Linked DNA regions of Anolis sagrei. The protein of the gene in region 2 interacts with the protein of the main gene of each other region in a biochemical or structural test. Links are inferred from orthologs where the notes say so. Each region holds a gene or a part of one and is shown on either strand. Other genes may lie near its edges.

Region 1 (11,440 bases), on a different chromosome or scaffold from region 2:
CTCCAGGCTCAGTGATGAGTCCAGGGTCACACCCAAGCTGCGAACCTGTGCCTTCAAGGGGAGTGCGACCCCGTCCAGCACAGGCTGTAACCCTATACCCTGTTCGGCCTTGCGACTGACCAGGAGTACCTCTGTCTTGTCTGGATTTAATTTCAGTTTGTTCGCCCTCATCCAGACCATCACAGCGGCCAGGCACCGGTTCAGGACTTCGACGGCCTCCTTAGTAGCAGGTGGGAAGGAGTGACAGAGTTGGACGTCATCTGCGTACAGGTGACACCGCACCCCGAAACTCCGGATGATCTCACCCAGCGGCTTCATGAAGATGTTAAACAGCAAGGGGGACAGGATGGAACCCTGAGGAACGCCACAGGTTCATCTACAATCACAGAGCATTCTGAACCCCACCAACAATGGAATTGGGCCAAGCCTCCCACACAGAACCCCCATGTGGGCCACAGCAATGCATGGCAGGGGACGGCTAGTATGTATATAAATAAAAATGTAATGTTCATTTGTGGGATTAACATAACTCAAAAATCACTGGACGAAATGACACCAAATTTGGACACAGTACACTTATCAGGCCAATGAGTGACCATCACTCATAAAAACACTGAAAAACACACAATGGAAGATACTTAAAAGCCAAAAAAAAATACATTACTATGCATGCGCAAAACCACATATATACACATATACACATACACAGACAAAACACATATACACAGACTGGACCACAGCACCGCGTGGCAGGGGTGGCTAGTTGTGTATAAAACTACTTTCAGGACATATGTATAAAGTGTAAAAATTAATTTTGAGATTAAACTTGGGACCTATCTCCAAAATATCTCATTCAGTAGATCCAAGTGAAATCTAAGGATCCAAAATATGGAACACTTCTGCTCCAAAGAATTGCAGATGAGGGGTAGGCACTCAATCTGTATTTCTATCCCTTGCAGCTTGAGTTTACTATGATCCCAAAGTTTGTGTTTTCAGTTGAATACCAGACGTGCCTGTCTCAGTAACACTTTTAAACATTCTCTCCAAAGCTTCCTAATGAACAAGCTTCCTAATGCCTTTCCAGGTCAGGCCCGGGTGTTTTGTGTTTAAGCAATCCCTGATAGCCTTCCCAGTGGGCATGAGCTGCTCCTTCAGGCTACTATCGCTTTAGTGATGCCATTAACTGATTCTCTACATACGTTAAGCATTAAACAGTGGTGACAAGTTAATTACGGAGTTATCAGGAGATAAAGTAGCCACAGAAACATAAGTTACAGTACAACTACTATTGCTTCCTATAGAGCATCGGTGCAGTTGCTGCATAAGTGGTGTAATTAAGTTGTCATGGATCATTCAGGCTGCAGATAAAAAGTTGCTGATGCTAGCTTCTAAGTACACCTAGTTGAAATTGTAAGCTATACCGAAATATGTACCTATTCTGAAAGATGGCATCTGTGCAAAGGTACAGTCTTTTAACAGACCCTTCAAAGCTTTTGGCTACTACATAAAGGCGATGAATAATCATAGGATATTACTCTGGAAAAATCCAAAGGAACATCTTTGGCTTTGGCACTTTACCAGGAACAGTGAGGGTGGGATCAATATTAGTAAAAGAGAGAAAATTAATTATTCTCCTCTAATCTTCAATAGCATCAGGAAACGAACTGAGAAAAGGATGTCAAGACCAAGAATTGTAATGATAAAAAAAGTCTTACCATTATATACATTTTAGGAGGACAAGCAGTCTCCAAGTTAGAAAAAAGATAAATTCTGTAGTTGAATTTGTATGCAAGTCAGAACAGGGACATTTTGTAAGAGTAGCTCCGGCCGAATATAGATATATATTAGCTTTCTGAACAGACTCGGAGTGGGCAGATCAAACGACAACCTAGTAAAATAGCACTACCTAAAAGAATCCCACACCTTATGTGATTGTGGAACAGAATAGAAAACTCCGCATCTGTATGCTCGTCCACTATGCCCTGCCTCATGTACAGAGGAAGAATTGTTGGAGGCTTGGTCAAAAGATATTTAGCCACCTGAGCTACTTCTATTTTATCGGTTTTATACTAATTTATGCAATGCTTTTGATACGAAACAAATAAATAAGCTTTGGGTAGCACAGGAAAGGGTTAACACCCCTGTGATATTTATTTTGCTATCTTTGGCTCTGTTCAGAAGATTTAACCCCACTTTAGGTCTCGGTGAGGATTGGATTTTGAAACATGTGGCTTGTTGTGGAAATAAGGACTGGTGATAAAGCTCCCCCCCCCCCCCCCCGTGATAACTCTTTCAAGAGTGAATTTCCCTTCTGAAAAGTAGATTACTCTCACTCCCAGTTGTCTCGCCCCCGTTCTTAACTACAAATCATTTGTAAGTCAGATGTTTGTAACTCAGGGACTGCCTGTAATTTGAGGGAGTAGGAGGAACACTGTCAGAAAAAAATGTATGTTCATTATTTGAAAAGTGAATATTCAAATTTGGAAAATAACTTGTTTTCTTTCATATTCTTTCTGGGTTTTTTTGACACCACCTAATTTGTAATGAGTTATTATTCCTAGTTGTAACTCTATAAATTCTAGAGGGAATACAAGTCAAAACACTTTGGAGCATCTTGCCAGAACTACTTACTCAAGGAGCAAACAGAGGGACTGGATTCACTTTGGTTCATAATTTTTATGATAATATAGGCTGAGTAGCCTTCAAGTAGGATTCCTTTTCTCTCACAAAAGCAATGGAAGCAACATAGCCACAGTCGTGCCAGTGCTGAGCTAATCTACAGAGAACTGCAACTGTTCCAGCATTTTAGTCATACATGTTAGTTTGTTAATGGTCACCTTCATACATTTATTTATTTAGAATCATAGAGTTGGAAGAGACCTTGTGGGCCTTCCAGTCAAACCCACTCCAAGAACAAAAAAAATTGCATTCAAAGCACCCCTGACAGATGCTTAAAAGCCTCCAAAGAAGAAACCTCCAGCACACTACAGGACAGGGAGTTTCACAGCTGAACAGCTCTCACCATTAGGAAGTTCTTCCTAATGTTTAGTTCTTCCTAATGTTTTGGAATCTCCTTTCCTGTAATTTGAAGCCATTGGACCACACCCTAGTCTCCAGGGCAGCAGAAAACAAGTTGCTCCCTCCCTCTCATCTCAGCCTTCTTTTCTGCAAGTCAAACATGCCCAATTCTTTAAGCCACTCCTCATAGGACTTGTTCTCCAGACTCTTGATCATTTTAGTTGCCCTCCTCTGGACACGTTCCAGCTTGTCAACATGTCCCTTAAATTCCACAGTGTTCCAGTCCAGGCAGAATAGAGCATATATTTACTCTATTTCTATCCTGCTTTCCACCCTTGCAGGCATAAATAATGGTAATATTTAATGCTGCATATTCAATAACATAAAATACAGTACATCAATGCAATAAACAATTAAAACATATAAATATCACACAATTATTAAAACGCAATACCAAATCCTGAACAAGTATGCACAATATAATACTCTTCAACACTGCAAGAAGTCCTCAGCTCACATTGAGTATTTGCAAGATCAAAAACCATGTATAATTTTGGCCTGCTTAAAGCATTGGTATCCTTATCTTGTACTTCAGCTTTGATGGGAATAGAGCAGGGGTCTTCAAACTTTTTAAACAGAGGGCCAGGTAACAGTCCCTCAAACTATTGGAGGACCGGATTATAATTTGAAAAAAAAATAATGAATGAATTCCTATGCACACTGCACATATCTTATCTGTAGTGCAAAAACACACACACACACACACACAAACGATACAATAATAAAAATGAAGAACAATTTTAACAAATATAAATTTATTATTATTTCAATGGGAAGTGTGGGCCTGCTTTTGGCTGATGAGATAGGATTGTTGTTATTGTGTGCTTTCACGTCATTTCAGACTTAGGTTGACCCTGAGCGAGGCCCGGGTAAATGACCTTGGAGGGCCGTATTCGGCCCCTGGGCCTTAGTTTGAGGACCTCTGGAATAGAGTATGATGGTAAGGAAAAGATGACGGAAGGGTTTTATTCTGCCACTTGCAGAAAACATCTGAACTGGAAAACCAAAGAGTTCTGCTATATGTGTGAACAGGGCACAGATGCAACAAATGTGCAACCACAGCTGTCCTGTCCATCAAATCTTAATTCCTTTCATTTACTCTACTTGCTTAACTATTGCCAAAAATATATATTCTGTTACAAATTCATATTAATAATGGTAATCATGCAAGTTAGCAGTATTTACTTTTCTGTTCTAAAAAAGCTAGATAAATAACTATGCAGGGCTTGGAAGACAACTGAACACTAATACACCAAATAATTGTGATTAATTTAAACAATATGTATCACCACTATGAACAATAACACAGCTATGTCATGAAAACCATGTGCATCAGGAGCAACCAGTCTATGTGAAAAGAGCCAATTCTGGAAAAGTGGAACCAATTGCAAAATATTTAGGAGAGGGGAAGGCCAAGGCTCCGCAAGACTTACCAGACTAATGGGGAATGGAGATAATCTTAGCTATATAAAAAGTTGTTTGTTTTCTAAACCACCCTGCTGGGGCCTTTTTATTAAGAAGTCAACTTTCAGAGACACTCTTGAAATACGGCTCTCCTTTTGAGAGCTCCCTCGTCTGAATGCCCCAGCCTGACACTGCCTTCGTCCACCAGAGAAATGCACAGCATGTTACAAAATCACCAACTCCAGCCGAGCTAAGAAGATAAAACAAACAAGCTGAAAACCAACAGGAAGCATGCCTGGGAAAGGGGAGGGGGGTGGGGTGGGACTGAAGCCAAACACTCTTTAAGGACATAGACCATCCAAAGAGGAAACGTGGAAAGCTAGGCAAAAAAGGCTAGCCTGGACATGTCACACATTTGGAAAATATCTATATAAATAAAAATGTAATGTTCATTTGTGAGATTAACATAATTCAAAAACCACTGGACGGATTGACACCAAATTTGGACACAATGTATATGGAGTTACACTTAAATGTGTAAATTTTTAATATGTATATATGGCTGGAATTTGCCTCCGGAAAATCCTGCAAATCTCTTGGGAAGATAGGCGGACAAACATCAGCGTGCTGGAAGAAGCAAAGACCACCAGCATTGAAGCGATGGTCCTCCGCCATCAACTCCGCTATACCGGCCACGTTGTCCGAATGCCCGACCACCGTCTCCCAAAGCAAGTTGCTCTACTCGAAACTCAAGAACGGAAAACGGAATGTTGGTGGACAGGAAAAGAGATTTAAAGATGGGCTCAAAGCCAACTTTAAAAACTCTGGCATGGACACTGAGAACTGGGAAGCCCTGGCCCTTGAGGGCTTCAGTTGGAGGTCAGCTGTGACCAGCAGTGCTGCAGAATTTGAAGAGGCACGAATGGAGGGTGAAAGAGATAAATGTGCCAAGAGGAAGGCGTGTCAAGCCAACCCCAACCGAGACCGCCTTCCACCTGGAAATCAATGGCCTCACTGCGGGAGAAGACGCAAATCAAGAATAGGGCTCCACAGTCACCTACGGATCCACAAGAATACTGATCCTGGAAGACTATCCTACTCGGCCAACGAGGGATCACCTAAGTGAAGTGAATGGCTGGAATTACACTTATAAGGTGTATATCTGGATGGAGTTACACTTTAAAATGTACCTGTTCTGACTTACATACAAATTCAACTTAAGAACAAACCCACAGAACCTATCTTGCTCGTAACTTGGGGACTGCCTATTCATATATATCTATTTTAAGCTTGTTCTATTCGCCAATAAATTGGTAAAATTCCCTAAGACACATGGTGCCACATACCAGCCATGTGTGAGCTCTCTTAGGGCTCTTCCAGACAGGCCCTATATCCCAGGATCTGATCCCAGGTTTTCTGCTTTAAACTTAAATATACGAGTCTGAACTGCCAGATAATCTGGGATAAACAGAAAACCTGAGATCAGGGGCCCTTTCATACAGCAAAATAACCCACAATATCTGTTTTGAACTGGGTTATCTGCCATATAATCCAATTCAAAGCAGATAATGTGGGATTTTATTCAGTTGTGTGGAAGTGGCCCAGATCCTGGGATATAGGGACTGTCTGGAAGGGCCCTAAGAGTACATTTACACTGTAGAATGCAGTTTGAGCTCAATTTAATTGCCTGGGCTCAACATTATGAAATCCTGGGATTTGTAGTTTGGTAAGGCACCAACCCTCTTGTGCAGAGAAGGCTTGTAAAGATACAAATCCCATAGCACTGAGCCATGGCAGGTCAAGCGGTATCAAACTGCAAACTGCAGTGCAGATGCTCCCTAAATGGCTCAACTCACCAACTTTGCTTTCACAGCGGTTTTCTATGGTCCTTTCTACACTGCCATATCAAAACCAGCATTAGCTGCTTTGAACTGGATTATTTGGCAGTGTAGACTCATATAATCCAATTCAAAACATCATCTGGATTATCTGCTCTGCTAATCTGGATTATTTGGCAGTGTAGACTCATATAATCCAATTCAAAACAGATCATCTGGATTATCAACTTTGATAGTCTGGATTATCTGGCAGGGTAGAGTCATATAATCCAATTCAAAACAGGACATCTAGATTGTCTGCTCTGATAATCCGGATTATCTGGCAGGGTAGACTCATATAATCCAATTCAAAACAGATCATATGGATTGTCTGCTCTGATAATCTGGGTTATTTGGCAGTGTAGTCTCATATTTATTATTATTTTATTTATTTACAGTTCTTATATTCCGCCCTTCTCACCCCGCAGGGGACTCAGGGCGGATTACAGTAAACACATATATGGCAAACATTCAATGCCAGTTTGACAAACAACATTTAACAGACAAAGGCTATTTAACTTTTTTTTTCTGGCCGCCAGGGGAGCTGCTGCTTTTCATCGTCCATCAATGACACCGATGAAGTTCTTCCGCATTCCACATTCCCCGGAGTCTTCTTTCTTTATGGCCTCATAAATTAGTTAAATTTAGCCTCCCACACAAGGTGGTCCCTTATTTTCCTACTTGACAGATGCAACTGTCTTTCGGGTTGCAAAGGTCGACAACGGGCTACACAATGGCTGGACACCCACTCCAGCCCGGGCTGGCTTCGAACTCATGACCTTTTGGTCAGAGTGATCTTAATGCAGCTGACACTCAGCCAGCTGCGCCACAATCCCGGTGCTATAATCCAATTCAAAACAGATCATCTGGATTATCTGCTCTGATAATCTGGATTATTTGGCAGGGTAGACTCATATAATCCAATTCAAAAAAGGACATCTAGATTGTCTGCTCTGATAATCTGGATTATTTGGCAGTGTAGACTCATATAATCCAATTCAAAACAGGCCATCTAGAATTGTCTGGTCTGATAATCTGGATTACATGGCAGTGTAGAAGTGGGCTAAGGGTGCATCTGTAGAATTAAAGCTGTTTGACACCACTTTTAACTGCCATGGATCAATGCTATGGGTTCTTGGGAGCTGTAGTTTGACAAGGGCGTTACCCTCCTCTGACAGAGTGCTAGTGCCTCACCTAAGGGCAAATCCCAGTGAAGAGGACCGATAAAGTGGTACCACGCTGCATTAATTCTACAATGTAGACGGGCTCTGGGTAAACAAACACGCACTCGCTCCAAACTGCCTCAATTCGCTTTCTTGCTGGCAATGGCTTTTAAAAATATATGCTTTTGTTTATACTCACAAGTTGCAAAAGAAGATGGTGCACTCACTTTCCCAAAGCTCAAAGAAACAGTGGGAGAGAAACTGCAGGGCAAAGTGGCGTTTGCCTTGTGGGACTTGTAGTTCAAGCGCTCTTAGCTGAGCGTCTCGGTTTCTGGTGTGGGAGACTACCATTCCCAGCATGCTCCGCGCGCCAGTCTTTTCCCCTGGTGCTTTCGTTTCTCCTTAAGTGCCATAGCTCAATGCAATCAGTGGAAGCCATGGATTTGTAGCTTGGTGAGGCACCAGCAGAGAAGGCTAAAGACCTTGCATAACCACAATTCTCATTAGTCCAGAACATTGAGAACTCTTCCACACAGCTGAATAAAATCCCACATTATCTGCTTTGAACCAGAATATATGGCAGTGTGGACTCAGATAACCCAGTTCAAAACAGATATTGTGGGATTTTCTGCATTGATATTCTGGGTTATATGGCTATGTGGAAGAGCCCTGAGCTGTGGCTGTTTAAGTGGTGTTAAAGTGGATTAAACCAGGTTGGAGTGAGCGAGATTCCAGTCATGAGTGTAGCTTGCTGTCGACCTATGCAGCACGAAAGACAGTTGCGTATGAAATTTAGGTACCACTTTATGCAGGAGCTCCCGGTAGCACAGTGGGTTAAACCACTGAGCTGCTGAGCTTGTTGACTGAAAGGTCACACGTTCAAATCCGGGGAGTGGCGTGAGCTTCCGCGGTCAGCCCCAGCTTCTGCCAATCTAGCAGTTTGAAAACATGCAAATGTGAGTAGATCAGTAGGTACTGCTCCAGCGGGAAGGTAACAGCGTTCCATGCAGTCATGCCGGCCACATGACCTTGGAGGTGTCTACGCACAACTTGGAAATGGAGATGAGCACGAATAGTCGGACACGACTAGACTTAATGTCAAGGGAAACCTTTATCGAAACTTATGCAGGAAGGCTAATTTAACTAATTTACAATCCATAAAACCTTCCAGCTGTGTGCAGAAGAATGAGGAAGTACTCCATCAAAGGATTTTTGATCACAAATAGATGGTGAAGCGGCAGTTCCCACTGTGGCCGGAATCAAGCATGCCCTTGTGAAGCCGGAAAAGCTGGAATGTTAAATTGCCTCTGTGTCTGTTTATATATGTTATATGTCTAATGGCATTGAATGTTTGCCATGTATATGTGTATTGTAATCCGCCCTGAGTCCCCTGTGGGGTGAAAATGGCAGAATATAAATACTGTAAATAAATAAAATAAAATACTGTAAATAAATAAATAGGTAAATAAATAAATTCCACAGTGAAGATGCACCCTAAGATTATCTGCTACCACAAACATATTTTTTCCAGAGGAGTGGAGGACTAGTATCTGTATTTCAGTCTGGTGTTGTATTCATTTAGTTCAGGAGATTAATTTTTTGCTACAATTGAAAACCATGGCAAGGGATTTATTTTATTTTATTTTTTTGCTGAAGGTAAAAAAGTCATGTTAATCTCGGCTTCATTAAAAAACACTGAGTGGGTAAATCAATGTTTCCAATCAATAATCTGAAGGTTTCGAATCAATAATTAAAACTCCTAACGGTTTGTACCAATTGGTTTTGAAATTTAGCAAATAATTTGAATCGCTGAATAGTAAAGAGCCCTATTCGTTAAGGGTAAAATATGTAAAACGTGGTGCTTTTCAAGGTAATTGCAAAGAATCACTTTGTATAAAGATTGGCTTTACAATATAATAAGGCTGTAAATATATTTTGGAACACTTCTTTCGCAACTCAGAATACAATCCATCATTTGCATCTTATTTTTAGAAACCTGTGCAGATTTGATCCTCATTGTGGCTGCTCAGAAAAAAACCACCATAAATTAACAATCTGAATAATGCAGCCAATGCAGATCAAATATTATAGTGGAAAAATAGTACAATGTCTTGTCAAAGGCTTTCATGGCTGGAATCATTGAGGGCCCTTCCAGACATCCCTATATCCCAGAATACCAAGGCAGAAAATCCCACATTATCTGAGTGTGGACTCAGATAACCCAGTTCAAAGCAGATATTGCAGGATTTTCTGCTTTGATATTCTGGAATACAGGGCTGTGTGGAACGGCCCTGGGTTGCTGTGAGTTCTCTGGGCTGCATTGCCATGTTCCAGAAGCATTCTCTCCTGAGGTTTCGCCCACATCTATGACAGGCATCCATAGGTTGTGAGGACCTATCTGAGGATGCCTGCCATAGATGCCATAGATGTGGGCGAAATGTCAGGAGAGAATGCTTCTGGAACATGGCCATACAGCCCAAAAAACTCACCACAAACCAATACAATGTCTACTTTTCACTCCACAAGTAATGTTCTACGGCCCTTTCCACACAGCATTATAAAATCCACATTGAATTAGATTATAAGGCAGTTTGGACTTGGATAACCCAGATCAAACCAGATATTGTGGATAATCTACCTTGATATTTTGGGTTATATGGCTGTGTGGAAGGGCCCTATATGAACACTTAACTGCAGGCCCAGGGTGCATCTACACTATAGAATTAATGCAGTTTGATAACACATTAACTGCCATGGCTCAGTGCTATGGGATCCTGGGGTTTGTAGGCCCTTTCCCCACAGCTGAATAAAATCTCGCAATTTAATGAAGCACCAGCACAACTTGGCAGAGAGGCTACAGACCTTGAAAACTATAAATTCCATGGTTCCATAGCATTGAGCCATGGCAGCTAAAGTAGTATAAACTGCATTAATTCTACAGCACTCTTAGGGGCCTTCCACACAGCTATAAAACCCAGAATATCAAGGCAGAAAATCCCACAATATCTGCTTTAAACTGGGTTATCCGAGAACACCCTGCCATATATTCCAATTCAAAGCAGAAAATGTGGGATTGTATTCAGCTGTGTGGAAGAGATCTTTGTCTTTTCAGGATTATACTCTTAGGCCCCTTTCCATTGCCATCTAATCCAGTTCAAAGCAGATAATCTGGATTTTATACAGCAGTGCAAAAAAGGCCTGGATGAATTATTTCCAGTCCCCCCCCCCCCCCATATTTAATCTATATGTTGCATTTTCTTCTCATGTTGTTTTTCCTATTAATTAAACGAGTGTCTTTACTCTGAATGGAAGACTAAATAGGTCATTTTCATTAGAAAATTTCCAATAATAGTAAACAATCAGGAATAAATAAATAAATATCAATACCAACACTACCAATACAACAAGAAATATCTTTGCTCATTTCACCTATATAATGGAAGTTGTTGAAAGCTGATGCTGAAGCCTCTGCTCTGTTGCTGGCTGGCAGAGGGAAGAAAAAATGCTCTGTGAAATTGACTTGTTCTAGCTGATTTTTTTATTTATTTTGGGGACAGGATTTATCAGCAATTCCATCAACAAACCATGGATACACCACATAGCTTTCTTCACTCTGGGCAGGAAAAGCTCACTTTATTGAGTCCTGCAAGTTTTGTTATCAATATTCCTCTTCCAGACCTATCTTTCACACTGTGAGCCATTTCTCAGTTTATGATTGTGCACAGACTTCAACCCAAAAGGAATGATGACACTGGCCCGAGTCCAGCTTTAGGCTTCAGTCCTAAACACATTGACTTGGGAGACTTTCTGTTCAATTTAGGGGAACTTACCTCTTAGTACATAAGGCTGTCAGCTGTATATTGATATACGTGACTAGTGCGTCCAGATATATGTCTGGTTTATCATAATCATCATTCC
Region 2 (11,046 bases):
TGGCCTTCCAGATGTCAGAGTACAACCTCTGTATTCCTCATCATTAGACCTCATGACCTCATGACTATAGATGATTGCAGTTGCAAAACAGTAACATCTGGGAGGCTGCAGTGTGTTCTGTTTAGTCAGGAGAGTTAGGTTTGAATTTAAATACAATGTTTGATTTTAAAATGTCCTTTAATCTTTCCCCAACTAAGCCACAAGTGCTATTGTGTTGTAATTCCCATTATCCCCAGTCTGCATGGTGACATTCAAAAGTGATACGCACTAGTGTTCAATAACATCTGGAGACCCAAACTGAATAAACACTAAAAAGCACTGACCACTATTACAATAGGCCCTCCATATCGATGGACTCTCCGTCCATAGATTCAACAAACCTTTAAAGTCAACCATAAGGTTGATGTGGCCCTCGATGAAAGTGGGTTTGTCATCCCTACAAGGGTACCAAATCCTTAACTAGGATCAGACCTGGTGAATATTTGAATGGGCATAAGAATACCAGACACTGCAGACTATCTTTCAAAGGAAGGTACTGGCAAAATCATTGCATATGAAATTCATGGGGTTGCCATAACTGAACAGGTGACTTGAAAGTGTGCATATATATATCCGGGCATAGGCCACTCAGAAGACCCCCGATACAGTAAAAATACATAGTACCTATGAAAGTTACCCACCCCTGAGCTATTGAATCAAGCAGTTCAATACATTGTCAAAAGCTTTCATGACCAGAATCACTAGGCTGCTGTATGGCCATGTTCCAGAAGCATTTTCTCCAGATGTTTCACCCACATCTATGGCAGGCATCCTCAGAGGTTGTGTGGTCTGTTGGAAACAAGGCAACTGATAATGTATTGTCGAAGGCTCTAGAAACATGGCCATATAGCCCGAAAAAACCTACAACAACGTATGCAAGTTGTTGTATATTGTGGAATATTCAGGCTGCAAGGCCATTCAATGCTATTCAAGGTGGCCAACTGCAACATTGACACTTGCCTCCAGCAGACAAAAGTTCTTTCTCCCACCCCGGACCTTCCACAAATATATAAACCCTACTTGTCTATTTTCCAACAGACCTCACAACCTCTGAGGATGCCTGTCATAGTTGTGGGTGAAAATGTCAGAAGAGAATGCTTCTAGAATATGACCATACAGCCTGAAAAACTCACAGCAACCCAGTTCAATACAGCCAGTGAGTTCAATACACCACTGCTTTCACACTGGGATACAATTGGTGCAGTTCTCTTACTCTGACGCCAGTGTTTGCTGAATAAAGTGAGATGCAGTCTACCCATTCCTTCTCTGGGAGCATCATCCAAAGACCACAGATTTGACATGACTTCCAGGTGGAATACCTGTCATGATCAATAGCCACACTGTGGCTAAGGACATCAAGAACTGAGCCCATCGGATCCAGCCAGGCCCATAGCCGGGGGTGGGGGGGGGGCTTGAGGGGCTTCAGCCTCCCCCCAAAATTCTCAGGGTGTCCACGAGAAGGCTTTACTGGTACATTATTTAAACTGTTATGTTTATTCATATCATTACCTGATCACCATACTCAATATATCCCATATGCATGGGGGTATTGGGGTAACAATACAAAAGGTTTGCTAGGGTAGATCCTCAGCCCCCCCCCCCCAAAATCAAAATCCTGGCTTTGGGCCTGGATCCAGCAAAGGAGACCCAATTGGAAATGGGAAGCAGATAACATCTCAGGGAGGACTATTGCTTGGAAATAACTGCAGGGTGGGGCAGGAGAACCAAAGTGACACAGTTAGTGGGGATTACAGAACCCAGTTACTTTATTCTCAACTGAAGAACAGAAAACAGAATCTTCAGCCCCTTCCATGCAGCTGAATAAAATCCCACATGATCTGCTTTGAACAAACAGTGTGGACTCAGATATTGTTTGGCGGAGACAAGACAGAGCCTTCTCGGCGGTGGCCCCTCGGCTGTGGAACACCCTCCCTATAGATATTAGATCGGCCACCTCCCTTTTAACATTCCGAAAAAAAGTCAATAGGTGGCTTTTTGAACAAGCGTTTCTAAATGCAGAGTAACTGACATAGGAAAATGGAACAACAACAATGAGACCGGACAACCTTTTTAACAAGGAGACACTATGAATTTATATTTTACTACCCGTCCCCTGCCATGCGTTGCTGTGGCCCAGTCTGTGTATATGTTTTGTGTGTGTATATATGTGTATATGTGTGTGTATATATTTGTGTATTTGTGTGTTTATATGTGTACATGCATATTGTGCATATGTGTGTATATATTTGTGTATATATGTGTTTTTGCTTACATATATATATTTGGTTGTATATACGTGTGTGTATATAAGTGTGTGTATATATTTGTGTATTTGTGTGTTTATATGTGTACATGCATATTGTGTATATATTTGTCTATATATGTGTGTTTTCATATACGTGTGTATATATTTGTGTTTTTGTGTTTATATGTGTACATGCATATTGTGTATATGTGTGTGCTTATTTATATGCACATTTGTGTGTATATATGAATGTATGTGGATATGTATATGTGTGTGTATGTGTATATGTATATATGTGTGTATTTGTGCATATATATACGCGTGTATGAATGTGTGCATGTGCATTTATATATGAGTGTATGTGTGTATGTATGTATGGTGTATTTTTGGGGTTTTTAAGTCTGTTCCTCTGGGGTTGTGTGTGTGTGTTTATGAGTGATGGACACTCATTGGACTGTTAGGTGTGTTGTGTCCAAATTTCGTGTCAATTTGTCCAGTGGCTTTTGAGTTATGTTAATTCCACAAATGAACATTACATTTTTATTTATATAGATTGATATGTTTAATTTTTTATTATATGTTATGTTTTTAAATTATATTTATGATATTGTAAGCATTGAATTTTATCCTGTTAACCACCTTGAGTTGCCTAGGGCCTTTTATTTTATTTATTTTTTGTCGTGTCAGGAGCGACTTGAGAAACTGCAAGTCGCTTCTGGTGTGAGAGAATTGGCCGTCTGCAAGGACATTGCCCAGGGGACGCCCAGATGATTTGATGTTTTTATCATCTCAGCCTACGGGCTGAGAAAGATATACAAATACAGTAAATAAATAAATAAATATTGTGGGATTCCCTGCCTTGATATTCTGGATTATATGGCTGCATGGAAGGAAAAAATATATAAGAGATTTACAGATAGGCTTAAGGCTATCCTTAAAAATGTGGAATAAACATAGAGAACTGGGCATCCTCAGCCCTTGAGTGTTATAGCTGGAGATCAGCTATTACCAGTTTTGAAGCGAGTGAAAGGGAGAAACATGTCAAGAGGAAGGCACATCAAGCCGATCTTTCTCGTGACTGCCTCCCACCTGGAAATCTCTGCTCCCACTGTGGCAAAACACAGAGAACTAGAAGACTCTACCTCTGGATCAGCCACAAGTGATCGCCCATCCACAGGTAAGGATGCCCTTCTTTGCACTAAAGCACATGACAAACTGTCACTTTCCTAAGGCAGAAGGGGTTGGTGTGCTGGGAGGAAGCAAAAGAAAGGAAACCAACTTGGAAGAAGCACCTCTGAAGGGGGTCTGGCATTTAGCCATCTCTCAAGCCGCAATGCCAAGGCTCCCTGCCAAAGGAGAAGTTGTGAGAGTGCCTGGAAAGCTCTTTCACTGGGACAGTCCTGGGAAGGGGTGTGTTCCTAAGAAGGCAGGCACAGCAACCGCACTGCCATAGGCAGGAGAGGTATAGCAACCAAGCTAAGTGTCTTGCCTTCTGTGGGAAGGGAAGGGAAGGGAAGGGAAAGAGAGAGAGGGAGAGCTCTCCAGGAGGGTACCCGGGAAGAAGCTCACTCCAAGCAAGGGCTTGGGGTCGGAAAGAAGCCGGCTCCTCTCCGCGGGATTCCCCGCAGCAGCGCCTCCAACCTGGTTCCCTTCCTGCTCCGGGCAGAAAGGCAAAGGCAGAAGGGAAGGGAAGAAGCAGAGGAGGACTCGCCAAGTAGACACAGTAGACGCCTCCCTGCCTGCCTGGACTCGAACAGGAGGACGGAGGGAGGGAAGGAGGAGGAAAGGAGAGGAAAAGAAAAGAAAGGAGGAAATGAAAGGAAAGGAATAGAAGGAAGGGAGGGAAGGACTGGAAGGAAAGGAAAGGAGGGAGGGAAGGAAGAACTGGAAGAAGGGAGGAAAAGGAAGGAAAGAAAGAAAAAGGAGGGAGGGAAGGATTGGAAGGAAAGGAAAGGAGGGAGGGAGGGAAGGAAGGAAAGAAGGAAGGAAAGGAAAAGAAGGATGGAGGGAAGGACTGGAAGGGAAGAGCAGGAGGGAGGGAAGGACTGGAAGAAGGGGGAAAGGAAAGGAAGGAAAGAAAGGAAAAGAAGGAGAGAGGGAAGGACTGGAAGGAAAGAAAAGGAGGGAGGGAGGAAGGAAAAAGGAAGGAAGGAAAGGAAAAGAAGGGGGGAAGGACTGGATGGAAAGGAAAGGAGGGAGGGAAGGAAGAGAAGGAAAAGAAGGAGGGAGGGAAGAGCTGGAAGGAAAGGAAAGGAGGGAGGGAAGGAAAGAGGGAAGGGAAGGAAAAGAAGGGGGAGAGCAGGAAGGACTGGAAGAAGGGAAAGGAAGGAAGGAAAGGAAAGGAGGGAGGGAGGGAAAGAAGGAAAGGGGAGGAAGGAGAAGGAAAGGAAAAGGGAGAGAAGGGCAAAAGAAAGGATGAGAGCGGGAGGGAGAGTGGGAGAAAAGCAAGGAAGGAGGAAAAAGAGGTGAGCAGGGAAGCAAAGCAAGATGAAAGCGAGGAGGAAGGCAAGAAAGAAGGGAGGGAAGGGAGGAAGGCAGAAAAGAGGGAAGAGAGAGAGAGACCCCGGTGTGTTTCGAGCCCTGCCTGCCTGCCTGCCTGCTTTTCCTGCGTCTCCTCCTTCTCTTTTCCTTACCAGATGAAGTCGGTGCAGTGGCTGCAGAAGGTGGGCTGGCGGAAGAAGCGCGCGATGAATTTGTGGTTCCTCACCTCGTGGACGTTCTTCTGGCGGAGGGCCCCTTTGCGGGCGAAGCGCTGCGCCACCTCCTCGGAGCCCGAGCCGGGCTCCACCAGGGGGAAGACGTCCGCCATGGCCGCACCGGCAGGCAGACCACCCACCCGCCCACCCAACCGGCCTTTCCCTTCTTCGCTCCCTCGGCCCAAGCCAGGCAAGGCGGCGGGCGGAGGAGCCCCTGTTCAGTCCTGTCCCGTCCCGTCCCGTCAGGGAGAGTGAGGCTGGGCTGCGTGGCGCGGCTGGGCGCTGCCTTCCCGGCCCGCTCGGGCTCCTCCTGACGTCTGAGGGAAAAAGGAGGAGGAGGAGGAGGATCCCCGCTCGGGGCCAACCCCGACGGCCCCGCCCACCCGCCAGGAAGGAAGCAAGGAAGGAAAGAGGGAGGGAGGGAGTGGCGCCCAATGCCCAGCTACGGGGCGCGCGGAGGGAGGGAGGGAGGGACAGGAGGGCGCGCGGACGGGGAACAGCGGGGAAGCCCGTCTCTAGGGCAACCAGCGTGCGCGCGGATTCGGGGAAGGGGTGAAGGGAGCGCGCTTCCCAAAGGAGGCCCCCCCTCCCTCCGGAGAGCCTTCTTCACCTGTGGCTTTGCCAAGCTCAGAGGCACGCCCCGCTGCTCGGAATCACGCGGGCCTGATTCACCAAATGGTCTCTCTCTCTCTCTTTCCAAAATATGCCCCACACACATCTGACACTGCCATATAAAAATCACTTTATCTGCTTTGAACTGGAGGATAGGAGTCCACACTGAATATAATCCAGTTCAAAGCAGATCATGAGGAAAGGGAGACCCCTTTCCACACAGCTGCATACAATCCTACATTATCTGCTTTGAACTGGAATATATGGAATAGTACACTGCCATATAACCCAGAATATCAAGGCAGAAAATCCCCCAATATCTGCTTTGAACTGGGTTATCTGAGGGCGCTTCCACACAGCCCAATATCCCAGAATATCAAGGCGGAAATCCTGCAATATCTGCTTTGAACTGGGTTATCTGAGGGCTCTTCCACACAGCCCTATATCCCAGAATTTCAAGGTAGAGAATCCTGCAATATCTGCTTTGAACTGAGTTATCTGAGGGACCTTCCACAGCCTATATCCCAGAATATCAAGGCATAAATCCCTAAATATGTGCTTTGAACTGGGTTATCTGAGGGCCCTTCCACACAACTCTATATCCCAGAATATCAAGGCAGACAATCCCACAATATCTGCTTTGAACTGGGTTATCTGAGGATTCCTCCACACAGTCCTATATCCCAGAATATCAAGGTAGAAAATCCCACAATATCTGCTTTGAATTGGGTTATCTGGGGATTTTTCCACACAGCCCTATATTCCAGAATATCAAGGTGGAAATCCCACAATATCTGCTTTGAACTGGGTTATCTGAGGGCCCTTCCGCACAGCCCTATATCCCACGGTGAAAATCCCGCAATATCTGCTTTGAACTGGGTTATCTGAGGGCCCTTCTGCACAGCCCTATATCCCAGAATATCAAGGTAGAAAATCCCACAATATCTGCTTTGAGCAGGGTTTTCTGAGGGCCATTCCACACAGACTTATATCCCAGAATATCAAGGTAGAGAATCCCGCAATATCTGCTTTGAAGTGGGTTATCTGAGGGCCCTTCCACACAGCCCTATATCTCAGAATATCAAGGCGGAAATCCCATCATATCTGCTTTGAACTGGGTTATCTGAGGGCCCTTCCACACAACTCTATCTGAGGGCCCTTCCACACAGCCCTATATCCCAGAAGATCAAGGTAGAAAATCCCCCATTATCTGCTTTGAACTGGGTTATCTGAGGGCAGATCCAGACAGGCCATTATCCCAGGAGAATCCGCATTTTAAAAACGTGGATTTTCCTGTGGGCCTGTTCACACACACCCCAGAAAGTGTGTACTTTTTGGGGTGGGTGTCCAGACGTTCTCCTGGGCCAATCCCGGGAGAACATCTGGAGGTCCTGCCCCCCTCCTACCAAGCCCCCAGACCCTTTTGAAAAGTAAAAAAAACCTTACCCAGCCTCCAGTATACTCTCCGAGATGCCAAGAGAGCGGGGGGGGGGAGAGTGAGGAGGAAAAGGAGAGGTGCCCCCCACCTGCTCTCCTGGCGCATCATTTGTACGCACAGGGAGAGCTGCTCAGAGAATATACTGGAGGCTGGGTAAGTTTTTTTTTCACTTTTCAAAGGGGTTTGGGAGGTTGGGGAAAGGGTATTCCCACAGTTTACTGGGCTTATTTAGCCTGGTAAACTGAGGGAGTGGTGTCTGGACTACAATAGTGGGTTTATCCCATGCCTTCCAAGAAGGCACGGAATAAACCCACTATCTAATTAATTCGCTACAAACCAGGGGTTTCCTGGTTTGTAGCGAATTAATTTCAGGTCTATCCACAACATTGTCTGGACAGCCCCTTCTTTATTGCAGTAGATACAACAATAAAGGTACTGTCTGGACAGGCCCTGAGTCCATACTCAGGTAATGTGGGATTTTCTGCCTTGATATTCTGGGATATAGGGATGCGTGGATGGGCCCTGAGAGGAGATGAGGTGGTGCAATGAAGACTTTTTTTGCTTCTCCTATTCACTCCTTAAAGTAGCCTGTTTTTGAGTGATTCCCGTCAGAGAATGTGAACCTTACAAAGGCGAAACACACACATCCTCTCCTCAGTATACTTGGCAGGTTCTTCCAAGGCCCCTTCCACACAACTGAATAAAATCCCATTTTACTGTTTTGAACTGGAATATGTGGATATATAGTGCAGGTATGGGCAAACTTGGGCCCTCCAGGTGTTTTGGGCTTCAACACCCACCACTCCTAGCATCCTCAGACCCCTTTCTTTTCCCCCTCAGGTGCTTTAGTAGCTGAGGGGGGAAAGGGAAGGGCCTGAGGCTCTTAGGAATTGTGAGAGTTGAAGTTCAAAACACCTAGAGGGCACAAGTTTGCCCATGCCTGGTATAGTGAGTCAAGGGGGGTCTGTGTGCCAAGTTTGGTCCAGGTCCGTCATTGGTAGGGATCGCAATGGTCTGTGGAAGTCAGAGCCAAAGCGGATGAAGGAACTGCAAATCCCATCATCCATGTTCTATCCTACCCTTAACTGCATCAGGCTATAAAGTGCATCATGGCTTGTGGGGTCTTTGTGTTTTGTGCCAAGTATGGTCCAGATTAATTGTTGACAGGAGTTACAATGCTCTCTGAAAGTTGGGGCCTTCTTGAAAAATACATACATACACTGTATATAGATTATTATTATTATTATTATTATTATTATTAACTTTATTTGTACCCCGCTAGCATCTCCCGAAGGACTCGATGCGGCTTACACAGGCCAAAGCCTTAAAACACAATACAGTAGAAACATAACACAACAATACAAAGCAAATCAAAACAATAAGCAAAATAACGACCACGGCGATACATCAATACAATATTAAAAACTGGTTCGGCCGGCGCAATGGGGTACAAGGGTTAAAAGTGCTGAAATGGTAGGAGGCACGTCGGATTAAAAGTGCAGTGTGCAGCAGCGATTAGTTATGTTAAGGTGCTACTAGGACTTGGGTGGGAATTTCTAGTCTGAGAAGGCACAACGGAACAGCCAAGTTTTTAAGTTCCTTCTGAAGACAGCCAGAGTAGGGGCCTGTCGGAGATCTTTTGGAAGGGTGTTCCAGAGTCGGGGGGCCGCTACAGAGAAGGCCCTGTCCCGTGTCCCCACCAAACGCGCTTGCGAGGTAGGTGGGATCACGAGCAGGGCCTCCCCAGATGACCGGAGCGAGCGTGTGGGTTCGTAGATGGTAATGCGGTCACGCAGGTAGGGTGGTCCCAAACCGTTCAGGGCTTTGTAGGTGAGCACCTGCACCTTGAATTGGGCCCGGAAAATAAACGGCAGCCAGTGGAGCTCCTTGAACAAGAGGGTTGACCTCTCTTGATAATGAGCCCCGGTTAGCATCCTGGCTGCTGCCCGCTGGACCAATTGAAGTTTCCGAGCCGTCTTCAAGGGCAGCCCCACGTAGAGCGCATTGCAGTAGTCCATTCTAGAGGTGACCAAGGCGTGGACCACCCCGGCCAGATCAGCCTTCACGAGGTATGGTCGCAGTTGGCGCACAAGTCTGAGTTGCGCAAAGGCCCTCCCGGATACCGCCGACACCTGAGCCTCAAGTGTAAGCGAAGAATCCAAGAGGACACCCAAACTGCGGACCTGTGGCTTTAGGGGGATTATTATTATTATTATTATTATTATTATTATCTTTATTTATACATCACATTTCTCCCCATGGGGACTCAAGGCAGCTAACAGTCCCAGACTAGACCAGTTTTAAAAGTGCAATACAAAAGTTAAAAAACAATTAAACAGTAACAGTGTGGTTAAAAGCAGAACTGCAATACAATAAATACACTTCAAATGGCCTTTAAAATCTATAGCTTTCCAAACTGTGTGCTGCCACTCCTTAGTGCAGAGCTTTCCAAACACTTCATGTTGGTGACACGCTTTATAGACATGGGTTGTTTTGCAATACAGTCATTCAGTTTAACTAACAAACTGGAGGTTAAACCAACCTCTTTTAAGAGAGACAGGTGCATACATAAAGCGTAATAACAAAATGAATGGCAGCCTAGGATATCTCATGAAAACCTTTCATTTAAAAAAATACATGATTTATTGCTTATTTCACATAGACTCAGAGGTTTCTTGCTATGTTCATATGGCACACCTACACAATAATGTACCGTGACACACAGCTTGAAATGTCTGTGTTAGTGTGTTGGCTGCAGTGTGTAGGTGTGTAGCATGAATGTAATGGAAAACCTCTGAGTTGTTGTGAAATAAGCAGTTAATGTGGTGTCAACCTGCATTAATTCTATAGCGTAGAGTACCCTAAGCATAACTGAAATAGTATTGCTACCCACATCCCTATTCGAAACAGCATATATATATATATATATAGTTTGGTCCAGGTCCATCATTGTTTGAGTCCACAGTGCTCTCTGGATGTAGGTGAACTACAACTCCCAAGCTCAAGGTCAATACCCACCAAACACTTCCAGTATTTTCTGTTCGTCATGAGAGTTCTGTGTGCCAAGTTTGGTTCAATTCCATTGTTGATGGAGTTCAGAATGCTCTTTGATTGTAGGTGAATTATAAATCCCAGCAACTACAACTCCCAAATGACAAACTCATAATTTTTTGAGTGATGGTCACTCCTTGTATTGTGAGACGTTTTGTTGCCAAATTTGGTGTGATTTCGTTCATTGGTTCTTTTGTTTTTAAGGTACTCATTATGCATAGAGCATATGCTCTGTGCATATACCAAACTTGGCACACACAACTCTCATGACCAACAGAAAATACTGGAAGTGTTTGGTGGGCATTGACCTTGAGCTTGGGAGTTGTAGTTCACCTACATCCAGAGAGCACTGTGGACTCAAACAATGATGGACCTGGACCAAACTTGGCACAAACATTCAATACGCCAAAATGTGAACACAGATGGAGTTTGGGGGAAATAGACCTTGACATTTGCAAGTTGTAGTTACTGGGATTTATAGTTCACTTACAATCAGCATTCTTAACCCCACCAATGACAGAATTGGGGCAAACTTCCCACACAGAACCCCCATGACCAACATCCAGTCCTACTTCCTTCAGCAGGGCAAGAAAACGTAATCAAAGCCCTCCTGACAAAGAGCCATCCAGCCATAGATATAGATAGATATGATTCACACAGAGAGAGATATAGTATCATAGATGTGAAAGGAACCCCTAAAGAAGGACATGTTCCTGATTAGGTAAACCAGACAATCTCCACATCAACACTGACAAAGAAACAGCAAGAAATACTGTTTACCCACAAGCATAAAGAAATGACATATATTAGAAACCAACACTTTCTCTTTACTTTATATTGCAGATCACTAGACTGGGCCACAGCAACGTGTGGCGGGGGGCAGCTAGTTGTTATATTTTTCATTTTCTTCCAGAATGATTTGCCTGCTGCTGGCTTTCAGTCAAAAGCCTTCCTGGCAGAGCCTC

Evidence for each region.
Region 1: of the proteins of PRKCA (region 2) and MGMT, one has a biochemical effect on the other in vitro, tested with the Homo sapiens proteins (2 studies listed by BioGRID). The link is inferred for Anolis sagrei from reciprocal best matches to the Homo sapiens genes PRKCA and MGMT.

What each region holds. Positions count from the first base shown.
Region 1 is NC_090023.1:193,690,785-193,702,224, forward strand, and holds the start of MGMT (methylated-DNA--protein-cysteine methyltransferase), read right to left. Parts: upstream 4,533-11,440; 5' UTR 4,512-4,532; intron 1-4,511. UniProt on the Homo sapiens protein: Involved in the cellular defense against the biological effects of O6-methylguanine (O6-MeG) and O4-methylthymine (O4-MeT) in DNA. Repairs the methylated nucleobase in DNA by stoichiometrically transferring the methyl group to a cysteine residue in the enzyme.
Region 2 is NC_090022.1:181,293,324-181,304,369, forward strand, and holds the start of PRKCA (protein kinase C alpha type), read right to left. Parts: upstream 5,318-11,046; 5' UTR 5,094-5,317; coding exon 4,918-5,093; intron 1-4,917. UniProt on the Homo sapiens protein: Calcium-activated, phospholipid- and diacylglycerol (DAG)-dependent serine/threonine-protein kinase that is involved in positive and negative regulation of cell proliferation, apoptosis, differentiation, migration and adhesion, tumorigenesis, cardiac hypertrophy, angiogenesis, platelet function and inflammation, by directly phosphorylating targets such as RAF1, BCL2, CSPG4, TNNT2/CTNT, or activating signaling cascade involving MAPK1/3 (ERK1/2) and RAP1GAP.